Arabidopsis thaliana: one gene and its partner. The protein of the gene in region 1 interacts with the protein of each later gene in a pairwise test. Each region holds a gene or a part of one and is shown on either strand. Other genes may lie near its edges.

Region 1 (8,673 bases):
TTAAGATTTTCTATAAACCAAAATACTTAAGAAGACGAGCGAGAGTCACAATCCTAATTGGAAATTAAAGATTAAAATTCGGTGGGAAGAAAGATAGGCTCTAATTAACTTGGCATTATCTCAGCCGTCCACAACAAATAAGCGTCCTCGTCATCATCTTGAGATGATCTTACCTAAACCCTCAATGCCACGGCAGCGATGGTAGTCAGTAAGATGATCGTCGTGGTTCTGACGGATAGCTCTTCTCCACCGTTGGGATCACCACTCGTGCTGCTAGATGGTCCCATAGTAGTACTGTCAGGAAACGTTATCGTAGATGAAGTCGGCTTATCATTAGTGGGTAGTGTGCTGTTTGTTGAATTGCCTGTGGATGGATTTGTGGTGCCTGGACTTGCTGTGGTTGAATTTCCGGTGGATGGATATCCGGCAGTGGGGGTTCCGTTGGAACTACAAAAAGGTTACTCTTATAAACACACTTAAATCATCATCACAATTTTTAAGAAGATATAATTAATATTTTGGTAATAAATCAGTAATAAAGATTCTGTCACACATTAGTAGACAAATGACTGAACTATTTCAACGACTAGAATCATCAGAGAGCTCATTACTGATCTAAAGAAAACACTAAGCAAACGAAAACAGAGGGAAATAACCCTAATCTAAACTCTAAGGCAAGGTGATGTGAAACATACCTAGAACTAGATAAACAGCTTGACGTAGCTGCAAGAACAGAGTAAATAAAGAATCAGCAAAAAAAAAAAAAGATACACATTTGATGAAAAGAAGTTGTGGTTTTAATGGAAGGAATACTCGAAGGAGGGGAAGTGGAGATGACGGCGGCGCCGTTGAAGTCACATGTGGCACCGGTGGAAGCTTTCTTTTGATAGTAGCTGTTAACGGCAACGTCACAGTGGTTCTTGAGGGTGTTTGGTTGATAACAAGCTCCGGTCGTCTGAATCTGTGCACAGTCAGCACCTCCTCCACATGCGAAGTCTATCACCTTCTGAAGATCCAGCTCGTTAGCGTCCTTGCACACACAAACCGCCGCGTCTGTACAAAACAGATATCTCGGATTAGCATTACAAGGAAAACGTAACCAAGAAGCGAAAATGTCGGAACCATTTTGAGTCTTAATGCCAAGGGACAAAGAAATGTTCAAAGAAGATAGAAAGAACTTACTTGAATAGGTAAACATGAAAGAGAGAAGAAACAGAGGAAGCAAAACCGCCATGACTGCTTAAACTTGATCGGACTTGTCTAACACTGAGAGTACCACAAATGTGAGTTTGCGAGTTTGTTAGAGAGAGAGGAGATTATTCTGATATGATGATCGACAATTTATACTCTTTATGATATTTCTTGGGTACTAATAAGCAGAATACCCTAAGGCTTAAGTAAAGAAAAGTTCAGATATTATTGTGTGATGACTTGTAAATGTTAGATTTTGAGTACTCAAAGCAATGTGGGTCTCTGAAACAGAGAAGGTGAAAAGCATTCCTGTCGTCTAGTCAATGTGTGACTGTGGTCGGTCGACGCACGTAATATTGTAGGCTTTATGTGAAAAACTAGCTTTGTTAATTGTTATTCTTACTAATTTGTCACCTAAGTTTACGTACATCTGATGCATTCTTTTTTAGGATTTAGATAAGAGTCTAGCTTTCCACAAAGACAACAAAAGATGCATGCACACGTTTGCAAATGTAAAATGTTATTTAACATATTATAAGATAAAATAAGATAAAGATGTTTTTAAAGTAAAGTAATTTGATTTTGAAGCACTAACCGATGGAAAATAATGGAGAAAAACAGGGAAAAGAACACAAAACAATTGGAAATAGTATACACTCTTTAAAGGCAAAAACTTAAGTATTAAGTACTTTTTAAAGGCAAAGCGGCTAAGCGAGGGAGCCATGTGCAGGACAAACTTTGCATCCGCATTACAAAACGTGTGATTGTGTTACAACGTACAAGTCACAAAGTCACACAAATAATCCGAAATGGTGTTGACAGGGCGACCAGAAATAGCTATAAACCTTACCTAGCTCTAACGTAAGTAATCACTTTTTCCTTCTCAGTAATTTATTTTTATTGCTTCTCTTTGACTCTGGAGATGGACTCAACCTCTTATACAAGCTCCATGGCCGATTAAGGGACTTTGTTGGACCGAACTCCATGAATAATATGCCGTAATCTTAGATAAAAATTCCTTCTTATCATTCTATTTAATTTAAATGGATGTTTTCCTATCATGCTGATGTCAAGTATGAAACTCATCACCAACAATAACCATGAGCGAAAGATCTCGCTTAAATTTGTTGCAAACTGAATCGCTAATACCGAATAAGCGAAAAATATCCCAACACCAACCATTAAAAAGTGATTTGACGTTATATACATCCTTAACTTATATAAAAACCAAGCGTTTAAAACTAAAACCAACAAAAACACACTTGTAAGAAGAAAAACCATAGCATGTCCATTGCACATATGAGGAAGGTGTCTTTAGCAACATTTAAAAAATTTAAATTACAAAATATTAATAATTAAATGTGAGAGGTCTTTAAATTAAAGACATCTTTTCAAAAAAAGGTCTTCACCAAGACATTTAGACACAATGTTTTTAATTTAAAGACACACCTAAACATTAAATAATATATCTTCTGTTTAAATATTAAATTTTAATTGTGGAAGACTCCCTCATATGATGTATGTGTGGTTTCTTTGAAAAATCAAGGTTTGGGCTATATCTATTAATGGGCTGGGCTTTATACTAAAAGACTAAAACATGTCGAGGAGTCAAAGACAACTTCTGAAAAAAAGACATCAGATTTCTTGGATAATCTCTAAAATGCCACTGCCGTCATCGAGAACAGATCGTCACGACCGGAGTTAGTAGTGTCTAAAAACTCATCTGAGAGAGAAGAACTCAGAAAACCCTAAACACAGATAAACCCCAAAACTCAAAAACCAAATCTTTCCAACAATGGCGTCTCATCTCTTTACCCGATCTCGAATCTCTCTCCTCAAAACCCTAAAACCCAATCCTTTTACCTCAGCTTCACCCATCAGAGCCATTTCCGGTACACCATTCCTCTCTCAAGATCCTCTGCTCGCAACCGAATCAACAGATCACGACCCATCAAACCATCAATCAACCTCCACGCCGCTTCCACCGAATCCAGCAACAGGAAGTCCTCTTTACCAAGAGAATTGGCGTAGTCCGATCCCAAACACTCCTTCCTTCAACCAATCTCTAGTTCCATTAGGATTTCTAAATCAAGCTCCTGCTCCTCGTATCAGAGCTCTCTCTGAGACGCTTGACATGAACTCGCTGCTGAATATGTTTGCGGATTGGACTGCTTCGCAGCGTTGGTCTGACATGAAGCAGCTTTTTGAGGTTTGGGTTCGATCGCTTGACAAGAATGGGAAGCCGAATAAGCCTGATGTGAACCTTTACAATCATTACCTTCGAGCTAACTTGATGATGGGTGCTTCTGCTGGAGATATGCTTGATCTTGTTGCGCCAATGGAGGAGTTTTCTGTTGAACCTAATACAGCGTCTTATAATCTAGTTTTGAAGGCTATGTACCAGGCAAGAGAGACTGAAGCCGCCATGAAGCTGCTTGAACGGTTAGATTCTCTGAGTTCGTAGATAGATTCCTTTTTTGTACAATGAACAATGCTTCTAGAAATAGTGTAAAGATTAAGACTTTACATGATTGAACGGTAAGATTTGCTGATGAATCAAAGGTTATCTCTGCATAGCAGCTACTGATACTGTTGTCATGTAAATGTAGATCTTTTCAAAATGTATCATGACTTGATGTAATTTGGTCAGGATGCTCCTCTTGGGGAAGGACTCTCTTCCGGATGATGAATCATATGATTTGGTTATTGGAATGCATTTTGGAGTTGGGAAGAATGACGAAGCCATGAAAGTTATGGACACGGCACTGAAATCTGGTTATATGTTATCCACCAGTGTCTTTACTGAATGTGTTCGTAGTTGTGTAGCCAAAGGTAGGACAGATACACTGGTCTCCATCATCGAGAGGTGTAAGGTACAGATGAGTTTTTTGTTATCTTCTATTGACATTTGAAGCTTTTGCAGTCTCGTTTATCAATTATATGTGTATTTTTGTTTTGCAGGCTGTTGATCGGAACAAGTCTCTTTGCCCTAGCTGGATACTGTGTAACTATATTGCAGAAGTTGCAATTCAAGAGGATAATAGCAAGTTGGCCTTTTATGCGTTTGAATTTATGTTCAAGTGGATCACTAGAGGCGAAATGGCTAGGCCGTCGGTTATTTTTTCTGTTGATGAAGGGTTGGTAGTAGCAGGCCTTGCAAGTGCTGCTAGGACTTGTAGTTCATCTTTAGTGGAAGGATCATGGACGATTCTGAAACAGAGTCTGCGTGGGAGGAAGGCAGCCAACCCTGCATCTTACATTGCAAAGATTAATGCCTATGCATCGTTGGGGAATCTGCAAAAAGCTTTCACTTCACTTCATGAACTTGAATCCGCATACGCAGACTCTGAAAAAGAAGTTGTGGAGGAAATGCTTTCACCTTTTACATCATTATACCCGCTGGTTGTGGCGTGCTCTAAGAAAGGTTTTGAGACATTGGATGAGGTATACCTCGACTCTTCCTAAGGGTAAATATTCTATATATTCTCAGCTTTGTTCGTAACAAGAATTAAGGTAGGGTCTTTGGCTAAGATAGTTGTGAAATTTAATAGAACAAAACCAGAAAACCTGTTTATCGAAGTCGAGTATCATGGTCTGGATATTAATGCATTTTAGAGTGAAGCAGCTATAACGCTTAGCTTATCTGACCTTGCACTGTCACATAATCCACCAGGTATACTTCCAGTTGGAGAGTTTGAGTCAAGGTGATACTCCATATAAGTCTGTTGCTGCTCTAAACTGTATAATTCTTGGCTGCGCAAACACATGGGATCTGGATCGTGCTTATCAGACGTTTGAGGCAATAAGTGCCTCTTTTGGGCTGACTCCTAATATCGATTCATACAACGCTTTACTATATGCATTTGGAAAAGTCAAGAAGGTGCTGTTTCTATGTCAAATCACTCTCTAATATTTTCTTTTCATGAATTAACTATTTGGCCTTACGACTCTAGTCTATTTGCTTTGCAGACTTTCGAGGCCACGAATGTATTCGAGCATCTGGTTAGCATAGGTGTTAAACCTGATTCCCGGACGTATTCATTACTGGTTGATGCTCATCTCATTAACCGGGATCCCAAATCAGCTCTGACCGTCGTTGATGACATGGTAAACCAGAATTAACAGACAAAACCTAACCTCTATGAGAGAATGATGTGTGTCTGAGAAACTAATGCATGTTCTAATTATACAGATCAAGGCTGGATTTGAACCCTCTAGGGAGACATTGAAAAAGCTGAGAAGGAGATGTGTCAGGGAAATGGACGATGAAAACGATGATCAAGTGGAGGCATTGGCCAAGAAGTTTCAGATCAGAATGGGAAGCGAGAACCGCAGGAACATGCTGTTCAACATAGACTACTCCAGGGGCCGAGCATTAAACAATTGAAATCCAAAATGGATGGTTGTAATAACGAACCCTTGTGAGAAGTAAGGAATGAAGCCCCGGCTCATCTAGTTTTGAAGTTATGGATCATCATGCCCAGTGTTTCATTGATGTATATTGCTTCATTTTATTCTTCCGAGTCTCTTAATCTGATTTTTATCCAATACATTACTTGGCTTCTTTTTTTCTTTTTCGGAAACCAATAGAGTTGGGTTCTTACTTTCTTAGGATCGATAGTCTTAGGAAGATGCTTTTGCATTGACCAATAATGTCAAAACCTTTGGAATATTTTGACTTTTATCTTCTTTGAATCTAAAGAGTTAAATTCAACCCTATATTAATTGATTTTAGTTTTAAAATGATTTTATGTTTTTGGATGACTTTAGGAAAAATGTTATTTGTTGTAAAATCTCCCAAATCTCACTTAAAAAAGTTAAAGCCATGAGATTTATAATTTTGTATATTTAACTAAACAAAATTATCTAAAACCCCTTAAAATGAGTGCAAAAAATAACATTCAATAACATTAGATTTTAAAATGAGTGCAGAAAAAGAATTAGATTTTAAAATAATCATTGTGTGTGGGATGAAAGCACAAAGACAAGGCCTTAAATATGGGCCGGCCCAGTTCAGAGATCAAACAAGCACTCCTGTATATATACACAAATCACAAACAGCTTATGAGAAGTTTTCAACACATTTGGGATCAAAGCCACAAAACCCTAAAAAATGGGTGGAAGAACGGACGAAAGTGGCGGAGGAGGTAAAGAGAAAGAGGAAGAGCAAGATGGTTTGTCCGTACACTCTCCCTGTAAAGCTTTACCTTCCTCCGCCTCCTCTCTCTCCAAGGTCTCTCTCTCTCTTTCTCTCTATCTCTCTACCATTTCTGTTCCTGAGATTTTAAAGGTTCCTCTTTTATTGGATTTGCTTCTCAGGAGCAGTCACAGGTTGAATTAGAGCTAAGGTTATTAGAAGCCCTTGAAATCTATCCTCCTGTTAAACTCCGAGGCAAGTTTCACTTCTCAAATCTTGATCCTTTAGCTACGTTCTATATGCTTCTGCCAATGTTTACTTTTGTATCATGATAGTTATCAGAAACCATTATCAAATGCAATCATTTCAATGTCTATTGTTCTTGCACATTGATCAGTTTGTTGGTTTCTTGATTTCTTCTGCTAATGGGATCATGATGGTGTGCAGGGATACATCGCCACTTTGTTCTTTATGGTCTGATGGAGTATCTCGGAAGAAGGTTTGTTGTTCTCAGAGTTTCTTTCATACTTCCAATACATACATGAGTCTCTGATCCTTATTGATTGAGTCTTTCTATCAAACTATTCCTGTACATAGCTTTGACCGACCGTTCACTGCGGATGAGGTTCTGCAGCTACTCGATCGTTTTTACAACATTGAGATGCTGGTGAGTAGTAATTACAACAAGCATTGATTGTTATTTTGGTCCCATAGCTTTAGTTTCACTTCATGGCATTGTTTAGAGTTGTGGTGATGGTTTTATTAATCTGTTACCTCTGTTTTGTTTCTTAGAAATCAGATGATGAGGACATAGACATTCTGAATCACGAGGAAGACTTTACCTTGCCGCAGAGTTTCTTTGATAAGGAAGAAGAATGACAGAGGAAGAAGAAAAGATGTTTTCTTTTCATTCATCTTCTCCCATCTTTTTGTATATGGTTAGGTTTTGTCTTCAGCTCTTATGATAAGCTTTTTTCTATATATTCTGAAGTTTTAATGTCAATAAAACCATCAGGATCAATGAATAATCTTTTTGTTACTCTGTCCAGAGAGTTAATAATCATAACAAGCTTTTTGCGGTTTTCGCTCTTTTCATGTTTGCATTTAGAGCCAGGGTTGTGTTTGTTTGGCAATTTTTGATACACATTTGATTGATCTGATGGGAATGTATGATAGCAAAAGCATATGCTGATCAAATCATAATAAAATTGCGTAACATAAAATACTTGATGACATGAAAATTGAGAACAAAATAAAGAAGACGAAAAGTAATACAAAAAAGAAACAATATAGGATTGAATTCAATTGTCTCTGATCTCATCTTCCTGATGAAACCAAGCTATGGAATTTAAAGGAATTTGCCTCCCCCTTCTGGACATCGAATCTAAATCTCATTCAACTTCCAAGCCCTTTGATCAGTTCTGAAACGAACAAACAAAAGAGTGAGCCTTTAGACCCAACAAGAACTATTCATACACCTCATTTTAAAGTGAATTACTACCTCAGTGGCATCGGCAGGCTTGGCCTGTTCTTGCTTGGATTCTTCAGTCTTGATGTTGTCTTCTCCTGAAATCATAACAAAACCACTGCTTATAAGCTCAAACATTCTGAGACATCATGTGTGCTGTGTGATTTTCAGACAAACCTCCATCTTCAGGAAGATCAGAAGTCCAGAGGGTGAGGTTGTCTCTCAGGAGCTGCATGATCAAAGTGCTGTCCTTGTACGACTCCTCACTTAGAGTATCTAACTCTGCAATCGCCTCATCGAAGGCTTGCTTAGCCAAATGGCAAGCTCTGCAACAGTTTAATAGAAACCACATTACAACAAAGTTGACACTCTATTGGTATATTTATTTATTGATGTTTTAGATTGAAACCTTTCAGGAGAGTTCATGATCTCATAGTAGAAAACAGAGAAGTTAAGAGCAAGGCCAAGACGAATTGGATGGGTCGAAGGAAGCTCAGTGCTTGCAGCTTGTGTTGCAGCCTAATCAAAATACAGATGCATCAGACCAAACTTCTCATAATTCTCTAGTATTTGACTAAAGAAACAAATTTAATACCTCATAGCCTTTGAGAGACTGTTCAGCAGCTTCCTTCCTCTCTTGCTCGGTCTTAAACTCAGCCAAGTAACGGTAATAATCTCCTTTCCTACAAATTCCAGATCAAATTGAGTTTCATTTGCAGATGATGATTCAAAAAGAAGAGTGTTTTTCTGTTATCACATCTTGTAGTAGAAGACGGTAGCTTCCCCTGAGGTAGCGTGAGGGATGAGATGCTGATCAATGATGGTGAGAATGTCTTGGCAAATGTTAGCGAGCTCATCTTCTACCTTTTGGCGATAA
Region 2 (8,907 bases), on another chromosome or scaffold:
CCATTGTAGACTATAAGCATTTGTAAGGAACTCATCTCTAATGTAGGATTTGAGTTCTTCTTATCTTCCCACTAGAACATTCATCTTAAACACAGTTATGTAATTTCCATAAGAGATATGAAACAGAGCATACTACCGTGATAATCCGGACACAATTGATATTAGTAGCCTTGTATCAAGGTACGTGTGTATTCCCCATCATATAATAAAAGAAGCTTTTGCTAATGCAAATTTCTGGTAAGTTCACAGTTTTGATGTGCAAGTTCTTTTGTATCATCAATTTAGCGATTATGGACTGCGCCATGCTTCAGATGAATAGAAAAAAGAAACTTATGCTGGTCTCGAAATCCACTAACCAAGCCATTCAACATCAAAGAAAAAAGCCCACATTATAAAAAAATAAAAAAGCCCACTTTAAACTATCAAATGCCCAACAATGGATGATGCACTAGTCGAGTCAGAGTGGACGGAGCCAAAGGCAGAGATGGATTTTAAGCTTTAATTTGTTTCCCAGATATTTTTCATCTGGTCCCTCTGTTTTTAAATAATTAACTAAAACGACTATAATAATTAATAAATTATACTATAGAGTATTTTGTGTGGATTTTTATTTACTGTTGAAACTTAAGGATACAAAAGAAAAACAATTATTCAGATAATTCGTCATTAGATCCCTTTAATTTTAGTAATTAAGTAAAAAGATTATAAAAGATGAGAAGGAGAAGATAGCTTCTTCATCGAGAAACCTCGAAATCAAAAAGCACGTCGGTGACTTGTACTCTTCAATCTCTTCTTCCTCTCTTTCACATCTCCTTCTCTCGAACCCATCGACCTGCGCTAATTCATCATCGACCTTGCTCAAATTCATCAACCATGTCTTACGATTATCTCTTCAAGTACATAATCATCGGAGACACAGGTGAGAGACCGATCTTTCACCTTTCTTAATTCCCAATTGTTTTATTTTTCTGGGTTAAATCCATTTCGTGCCGATTTTCATGTGTTTTCGTTGTTGTTTTTTTTGTCGTTTCAGGTGTGGGAAAATCGTGTCTGCTTCTGCAATTTACTGATAAGAGGTTCCAACCAGTCCACGATCTCACCATTGGTGTTGAGTTCGGTGCTCGGATGGTCACCGTCGATGGACGCCCCATCAAACTCCAAATTTGGGACACCGTACGCTTCCTCTCTCTTCTCTTGGTCGTAATTAGGTCATCAGGGAACTAATCACGTTTTATCGATTAGGATTGTTTTTTTTTTCTCCCTAAGGCAGGATGTGATTAAGAAGATTAATTGTCATAATCAATTCAATTTCTTCGTTTTTATATAAACAATGCCTCATTAGAATTGCCAATACCAAAAATTATGTTTGAAAATCATGTCCAGAGACTCAAAGTGGGGTAAAATTTCAAAAAAGTTAATCATTGCACGGTTCTTGATTAAGTTTCATAGGCTTATTGTAATAGAAGCTGAGTTCACCAGTGCATTCCTTGTTGTGATTTCTTCTGGTCAATAGTTCTTCCATTAGATGATGTATGTGTTGGAGTTGTGCTTTCTGATTAAAGTTTCGTATGATATTTTTTAGGCTGGACAAGAATCTTTTAGATCCATCACCAGATCATACTACAGAGGAGCAGCCGGAGCTTTACTGGTTTATGACATCACCAGGTTAGTTTTTGCCTTGCGACAATATATATCAGCTCGAACTTCTGAATTCCCCAGCAAGGTTTTGGAAGTGATTGGTTCTGTATTTGTGATTTGATAAACCTAGACTGTTGGAAAGGTTTTGGAAATTGGGAAGTTACTTTTATCTGAACAAAATCCTTGGCTATAATATTGGCAATGCTTGTTTGGGAGGATGTTAAGTTAACCATCCATCTTAAATTCTTGCTAAAATAGATATTTTTCCTCCATTGTTTTGGAATTTTGAAAGTTATGAAGGACATGAAGAATTGCAAGAGTTTTATCATTGAGGTTTTTCATGCTTTGATCTTTCTGAAGCTCAAAATTCTTGGTTCTTTGGGTTGCAGGAGAGAGACGTTTAACCATCTGGCAAGCTGGTTGGAGGATGCTCGGCAACATGCAAATCCTAACATGAGTATTATGCTGATTGGGAACAAATGTGATCTTGCTCACAAGAGAGCTGTTAGCAAAGAGGAAGGTCAACAGTTTGCCAAAGAACATGGCCTGCTATTCTTAGAAGCATCTGCAAGAACTGCTCAAAACGTTGAGGAGGTGACATTTCTTCCTTGCAACTCTTTTTCCCCATCCTGTTATTTGGCTGTAATCACATGGAGACTTTTGTCTTCTTTTTCTGGATTCCAACAGGCCTTCATAGAGACTGCTGCCAAGATCCTCCAGAACATTCAGGATGGTGTCTTTGATGTATCCAACGAGGTAATTTCCTTGTTGAATCTGGCAATATACTTAGTCTTCTGGTGTTCTCTAATCCCTCGATTGTGTTACAATGTGATTCAATTCCCTTGGTCTCTCTAAATTTTGCAGTCATCAGGTATCAAGATTGGTTACGGGCGTACTCAAGGTGCAGCTGGAGGAAGAGATGGTACGATCTCTCAGGGAGGTGGCTGTTGTGGTTAAAAAATCCTCGAGAGAGGTGTCACATATCTGCTGTAATCTGGTGATTCAGAAACTACTATTGCTTCTATTTACCTCTGCAAATGGATACACCAGAATGTATAGTTTCTCTTTCTTTCTTTCTTTTTTTCTCTTTTTCCCAGATTGTCTTTTATCAAAAAACCAAACGGGTGCATTTAAGAGTGAACAGGCTGATCTTTATAAACCAAACAGGCGTTGGCTTATTTAAAACGTTGTCGCTTTGTATGAAGCTCTCAAGGTTAAGTAATTGAAATCAAATCAGAATAATATCCAGTCATCATCTAGGTGAAATTTCCTTATTCATCTAAACGAACTGGTTTTAAAATACCCAGATGGTTCACAGAGATCCCAATAAGCAAATAGAAGTAGAAAACGAAGAAGCCATGATACCATCTTTCTTCCTCTTGGTCCCTTTGCTTTAACGCCTATTAGGTAATGTCCCTTCCCTAAGCCGCAAGTTATTGTATGTTCGCGTCACTAACATCAGTCTCGGATCATCCTCTGGTATTTCGCGTTCCTATGATTACCACACCACAAAAACCATCAATAACTAATACCAAGAGAAAGAAAGTTTGTGGTCAAATAAGAAAAAGGTTTTTTATTACTTTCAAGCCCTTGTAGTAAGCTTCAACAGCAGCTAGTGTTGGTAGAATATTCCGAGCTAGCATCAGATCCCATATCATATTTGCAACTGTGTACCCTCCCGTCTGCCATAAAGAAAATGTTTTTTTTTTTTTAACTTTCACTAAGCCAACTCTTTATATCAGTAAGATATTTCCAAAGTTTTTAGGGGAAGTTCAAGATTTTTACCTTTTCACCAGCGGCTTTGAGTAACAGATTGCTTCCAGTTCTTGGGTCTAAGAAGAAATTGCGTTCGTTCATTTGGATCTGCATTTACAAACAAATTGTCATCAGGCTCTACTATTGGCCCGTGTTTTGTTTACTTCATAGATTCTTTTTTTCAGTACAGCTCGAGCCAATAAGCATTACCAGAGTGTCCTGAGCAATCTTCATTCCATTATCGGTGTATCCTGTCATAGCTCCTTCTATAAGCGTCTGTAAAAATAAAACAAATAAATTGACATCTTCAGCATATACATATCACCCAAAGATATGTTGAACCAAGTATGGGAAACAGGACAGAAGCATAATTCTCTTCGACTAATGCGTTAGTTGAGAATTTAGATTTATTTGTATATACATTTGCGGGGTTTGACAATTGAGAATCAACAACTATAAGACATATATAGTAAAGAAGACGTTCACTCTCAAAGCAAATATAGAAAACACCAGTTATGAGGTCAGATCATTGTGTTACCGTGTATAGTTCCATGGCAGGGATTTTGTCTGCGCTCATGTAATCTTGAAACAGTTTGAGACCATTCTCAAAGTCTTGCGAATGTAGATAGCACCTGCGTAGATATAAAATAAGATGCATATACGTTAATCATGTTTTGATTCTCAACGAGAGTTAATAGTGTAGTATACTAGTAACAAAAGTTAATTTCGTAGCTAAAGACTGCCTATGTTTTAACATCTAGATGCAAATTAACATCAAAGTGTGTGTTCTATTGTACCTCATGATTTGTAGCATGCAGTAAGTGTCAGTATCTTTTCCGTCTTTCTTAAGCATCTCAAGAAGAGCTTCCGTTGCCTGCCATGAGGAATTGCTGGTAAGATGCAAAAATAAACTCCGAAACTGGCTTTTCTTATCTTTATCTTTATTCCCACTAAGTTCAGGACATTTTGGAATCTAGATAGACAGATCATCTTACTTTTACATCCTTCAGATCAGCGAGAGCACTGAATGCTACGTGATACACAGTCAAATTCCTCTGCAGAAACCTGGTCCTGTGGGAATAATCAGCGGTTGGAATATTGTACAGCTCTTCTTCACTGATGCTAAACATCACATCTTCTGCACTCTTCCTTGATGAATCAATTGCTGACCAGCCTTTTGACTGCTCCACAAACTCGAGAATCTTTTGAGCAAAAAGGAGGCTGTGAGAAAACCTACTTTAAAAAAAATAAAAGGAAATCTGAACAAGAAACCTTTACACGTTACCTTAGTAGAAAGATTATCTGGTCTGGGCTGCTTGTTTAAGTGTGCAGTTATGAGTCCCGCATAGCAGAACTGGTTCAAACCAACACCAGCAGCAGTCATATCCCGAACTATCGCATATCTAACAATTTATTTGATGTCAGATAAGAAAAAGATTAGATCACTTCTTAGATAGCGCTGAAGAGATAAACAAGTACTTACTTAAAACAGAGAAAAGTGGGATAAAAGCTTATCAAAGAGTATCATTTCAATTAGTGAGCACTCAAAAGACAATAGAAGCAGTGGTAACCTACACAAGATCTAACTGGCCAGAAACAGCGCAGGCATTGAGCAGGCAGACAAAGGTCTGTCCATTTGGTTTTACATCATATCTCTTCATCTCGTCATAGACCTTACAGTAAGACAACCAAAAGTTTCATTAATGAATGAAAATCAAGGAATGTAAAAGAAAAAAAAAAGGTCTTCCATTAAAGCAAGTGGAAGATAACATACTCGGATTGCCTCCTTTCCATTCTTGCATTTCCCACATGTGGAAATTAAAAAGTTGTACAAGTTCACCTACAAGAATGAACGCACGGTGAACAACACAAGCCACGGATGGACGGACTCATTCTGTAAAGTCTAAATCATTGAATAAGGAATCGCTCAATCAGCTGCTAGATTTTCTATATTTCACCTTTTCTTAGGAACATAAATCAACAAGACGAGTTTATTCTATGCAATGTAAGAGTAAAAAACAACAAGATCATAGGACATACATCTGGAGCAATCCCCATGGCTTTCATTTCTTCCCGGAAAAAGAACGCATCGCTTAACCGAGCACCCTTCATCGTTCCCACGACAAATGAATGGAAGATATCAGCTGTAGGCTGCACACCATCAAGCTTCATATCATCATAAACATCCCTCAGCAAATAGTGCCTACCCAAAAAAGAAAAGATTTATCATATATTTAAGCATGGACCAATGAAGTAACCAAGTATATATTATCATGGCAAAAGAGTTCTCAATCTCAATATCTCATCACATTCATATTGGATCCCCCCATGTTCTGAACACAATGAGCAATACAAATCAAGGGGGGAAAATAAACCTGCGCTGAGCTGTGACGGAGTTGACAGCGGTGTTGTATTCCGACAGATCGTTGGCGTAATTTCTCTTTGCGATTTCCTCCGGCGATGAAGCGAAGTAACGCCGACTAACTAGAGCTCGAACCAGAGATCGATTCCTCCCTGTTTCCGTCGAATCAAAAACTAACATTAAGGACGAATGTGCAGTCGATTGAATCAAAAGGATAAAGATCGATTCATGACAGATGCAAAATGGGATCTATCTAGTTAGTCACGAGGATGAAAAGTCCATAAAAGCATACCAGAAATGGATTGCATGAGGAACTTCATAGCTCACGTGATATCCTTACTTCCGCCAGAAATCGAAGAGAAGCCAATACAAGCTTTTCCGGCGAGTCTCAGACTACGGAGAGAGTGAGAGAGAGGAAAACTGTATAATCGAGTTCCGCCGTCGGAAAAAAGGATATATCATCAGCTCAGGCCTCAGGGTTTAGGGAATAAACATAAACCGGAAAATATACAGATCTAACCGGGAGTTAACCGGTTTGATTTAATGGATCGGAATTTTAAAAGCTTATGCTCACTGTATGGGCCTTGATGGGTTATTGGGCTTAATATGCAGAACCAGTTGACGATGATCACGTGGCTATCGAGTGGTTCACGTGGCTGCCACGTGTACCGAAGAAGAAACGATGATGATGGAGAAAAAGATATTATTACAGTTGGGGGATGTCCCAACTAATTAAAACTTTGAATCTGTCGGAAGATCACGTGAAGACAACTAATATTTGTTCTTCTTGCGTTAAGTGAGAACTATTGACCAAAAGAAACCTTTATTTTAATCAAAGCTCGTGCAATTCCATTTTCGAAAACGAATTTCAAAAACACTTTTCAATCAACACACGACAACACTTGTAGAATTTTGTAGTAGTTGTTCAGTCGATACTGCTTCCCGTGATTAAAAACCTGTGGTTCATATTTTATAAATTTAAGTAATTAAAGTGCCAGATGACCAGATACAACGTTGAATACTCTTTTAACTAAACTTTAAATACAACAGACTACTCTTGAAATAAATGTTTAAAGTTTTTATAAAGTTCCATGTAATTCAAAAGACCCCCCAAATATAGAGGACTTATAGGCAAACCTAGAAAAAGCATCATGAAAAAAGATAGAGACTGATCAACATAACCATATTATTATTCACTTTGTTTGTTAAGTAAAACATTTAACCAAATGACAAGTTACAACACGGAAAGCTCTCGTAATAATTGCACTAGCCAAAATTGACATTGTAATTAATTACGTGTTGGTGAGTATTATTAATGTTTTGTTTAGATGTAAGAAGAGCTAATTAACAAACCAAATCAAGAAATGTGATTTGGCATGATTTTATCTCCTGGAGGCCCACACGAGCCATAGATTCACACATAGAATTCAATTTCTTTCCTTCACGTCATAACTACTGAATGTAGTTGTATTTACGAAAATTCAATCACTCACTTCAAAGTTTGGTGAGACCAACACACAATCTAAAGTCTTGAATTTAATGGGTTTGGTTAAGATCAACTTATTTCAAAACTTTTTTTTTTTCATTTCTTTGTACATATATAGAGACTCTAACCACATGATTACGAATTTACGACCATACAAGAAGAAGGAGAGAGAGGGAAGAGGCTGTGCAAATGGTAAGAAAAGAGATTACAGATCGCGTCTACACATTGGACAAGATCCGTGCCTGAAGAGCCAATTGTCTATGCAAGGCAAGTGAAACATGTGATGACAATGTGGCAAGCTTCTCACCGTTTCACCAAGTTGAAAATCCTGCAAAAAGTTACACAAAAGAAGATCAAGAACTAAACCTTTTGGTTCTGCATTTGGGGAATTAAGATTTCGTTTGAGCTGAAATGAGCAAAAAACCTGAAGACAAACAGAACATGAGTCTTTGTTGCCAGAAGCATCTAAGTTGTTTTTGCCAGTGATTTTGATTTTAGGTATTTTATCAACCAAATCTCCTGTTAACCCCTTTGAGCCACCGGTATCGAAAATACTCGAGAGCTCTTCGAAAGTTGAATCCACAGCTCCCATCTGATCAGTGAGAAGAGAGATGAATATGATTAGAGGAGATCTCATTGCTGATAATGGAACCAATAACACATTGCTAATAAAAAACTGTACCTGACTTTGAACCGCACTTAGCATTGCTGGACCTATTCGTTCCCGCACAAGTCTACCACTTATCAGACTAACAATGACATCAATCTACACAAAGATTAACAAGAAACAAGAATCAGTTCGAATCAAATCTGGAAAAAAACAGAGCAGATGAGTAGTTCAAATGAAGATCTCAGCTCACCAAGTAGAGGAGACATCCAAAACGTGACTCATTAGATTTCCAAAGAACAAGAGATGACTCAAAGACTTCGATAGAGAAAACAGCTCCCGAAATGGCTCCAACCGCCGCTCCTCGGATAAACCCACTTTCGGTTTCTTGGCCTATCAAAGCTCCAGTAAGTGCTCCAAGCAATGTGCCCACTGAAGAAGGAAACAACTTTCTTAGCTCTACATAAAAACCCAAAGTTGCAGATTCTACCCTACTCAACAGTAAAGTGATATCAATGATCAAATCAATCCAAAGCAGGACAAAAAGCTTCATAAAAGTTTCCAAGAAGTGGAGAGACATTCTTGAAAAGAATCAAGAAATTGTAATAGGAAACAAGAGACCGACCTAAAGCGAAGAAGAAAGTCAAGACCGCCGAGAGAATTGTCCCTAGAACAGCGGAGAGGGTGAAACGACATGCGTCTTTAATCCTTTCGATGAAATTCTCAAGAGAGGGACACGAAGAGATAGGACAAAACCCAGATTGGAATCTAGAAGAGGCCATTTTTTTTTTTACGGAACCCGCCAAAGATTAAAGAGACTCGAAACGATCTACGGTAAAAACAAAAACAGAGCTCAGTGGAGTTTATACAAGAGAAGAGAGAAGGAAGAGAAAGAAGATAGAAGAAAGAGGAGAGATGGGTTTTGCTTAGCCCTTAAGAGAGAAGATCCGATGTCTGGCCTACTTGCAATTAAGTTTTTTAACCTCAAGTAGGTGAAGTAAAATCTAGGGTTTGCCTGTCATGATCTATGTTGAAAACACCACTAATTTTTTTTTAATC

Evidence for each region.
Region 2: the proteins of AT1G26460 (region 1) and AT4G35850 interact in a two-hybrid assay, tested with the Arabidopsis thaliana proteins (one large-scale study listed by BioGRID).

What each region holds. Positions count from the first base shown.
Region 1 is NC_003070.9:9,148,830-9,157,502, forward strand, and holds AT1G26460 (Tetratricopeptide repeat (TPR)-like superfamily protein), read left to right. Parts: upstream 1-2,798; 5' UTR 2,799-2,986; coding exon 2,987-3,633; intron 3,634-3,841; coding exon 3,842-4,064; intron 4,065-4,152; coding exon 4,153-4,635; intron 4,636-4,864; coding exon 4,865-5,071; intron 5,072-5,160; coding exon 5,161-5,298; intron 5,299-5,383; coding exon 5,384-5,578; 3' UTR 5,579-5,933; downstream 5,934-8,673. Other genes in the region: AT1G26450 (Carbohydrate-binding X8 domain superfamily protein), read right to left, coding at 174-447, 696-723, 814-1,053, 1,183-1,234; AT1G26470 (chromatin modification-like protein), read left to right, coding at 6,305-6,424, 6,511-6,583, 6,776-6,827, 6,926-6,995, 7,121-7,207; GRF12 (general regulatory factor 12), read right to left, coding at 7,744-7,749, 7,830-7,894, 7,974-8,122, 8,206-8,315, 8,392-8,479, 8,554-8,673.
Region 2 is NC_003075.7:16,980,806-16,989,712, reverse strand, and holds AT4G35850 (Pentatricopeptide repeat (PPR) superfamily protein), read right to left. Parts: upstream 6,189-8,907; 5' UTR 6,076-6,188; coding exon 6,048-6,075; intron 5,908-6,047; coding exon 5,769-5,907; intron 5,597-5,768; coding exon 5,434-5,596; intron 5,234-5,433; coding exon 5,168-5,233; intron 5,067-5,167; coding exon 4,969-5,066; intron 4,797-4,968; coding exon 4,679-4,796; intron 4,596-4,678; coding exon 4,389-4,595; intron 4,268-4,388; coding exon 4,191-4,267; intron 4,026-4,190; coding exon 3,932-4,025; intron 3,670-3,931; coding exon 3,604-3,669; intron 3,502-3,603; coding exon 3,424-3,501; intron 3,321-3,423; coding exon 3,219-3,320; intron 3,131-3,218; coding exon 3,032-3,130; 3' UTR 2,746-3,031; downstream 1-2,745. Other genes in the region: GB2 (GTP-binding 2), read left to right, coding at 874-919, 1,034-1,173, 1,583-1,665, 2,028-2,232, 2,326-2,394, 2,503-2,595; AT4G35840 (RING/U-box superfamily protein), read right to left, coding at 7,447-7,833, 7,924-8,007, 8,102-8,280, 8,474-8,630.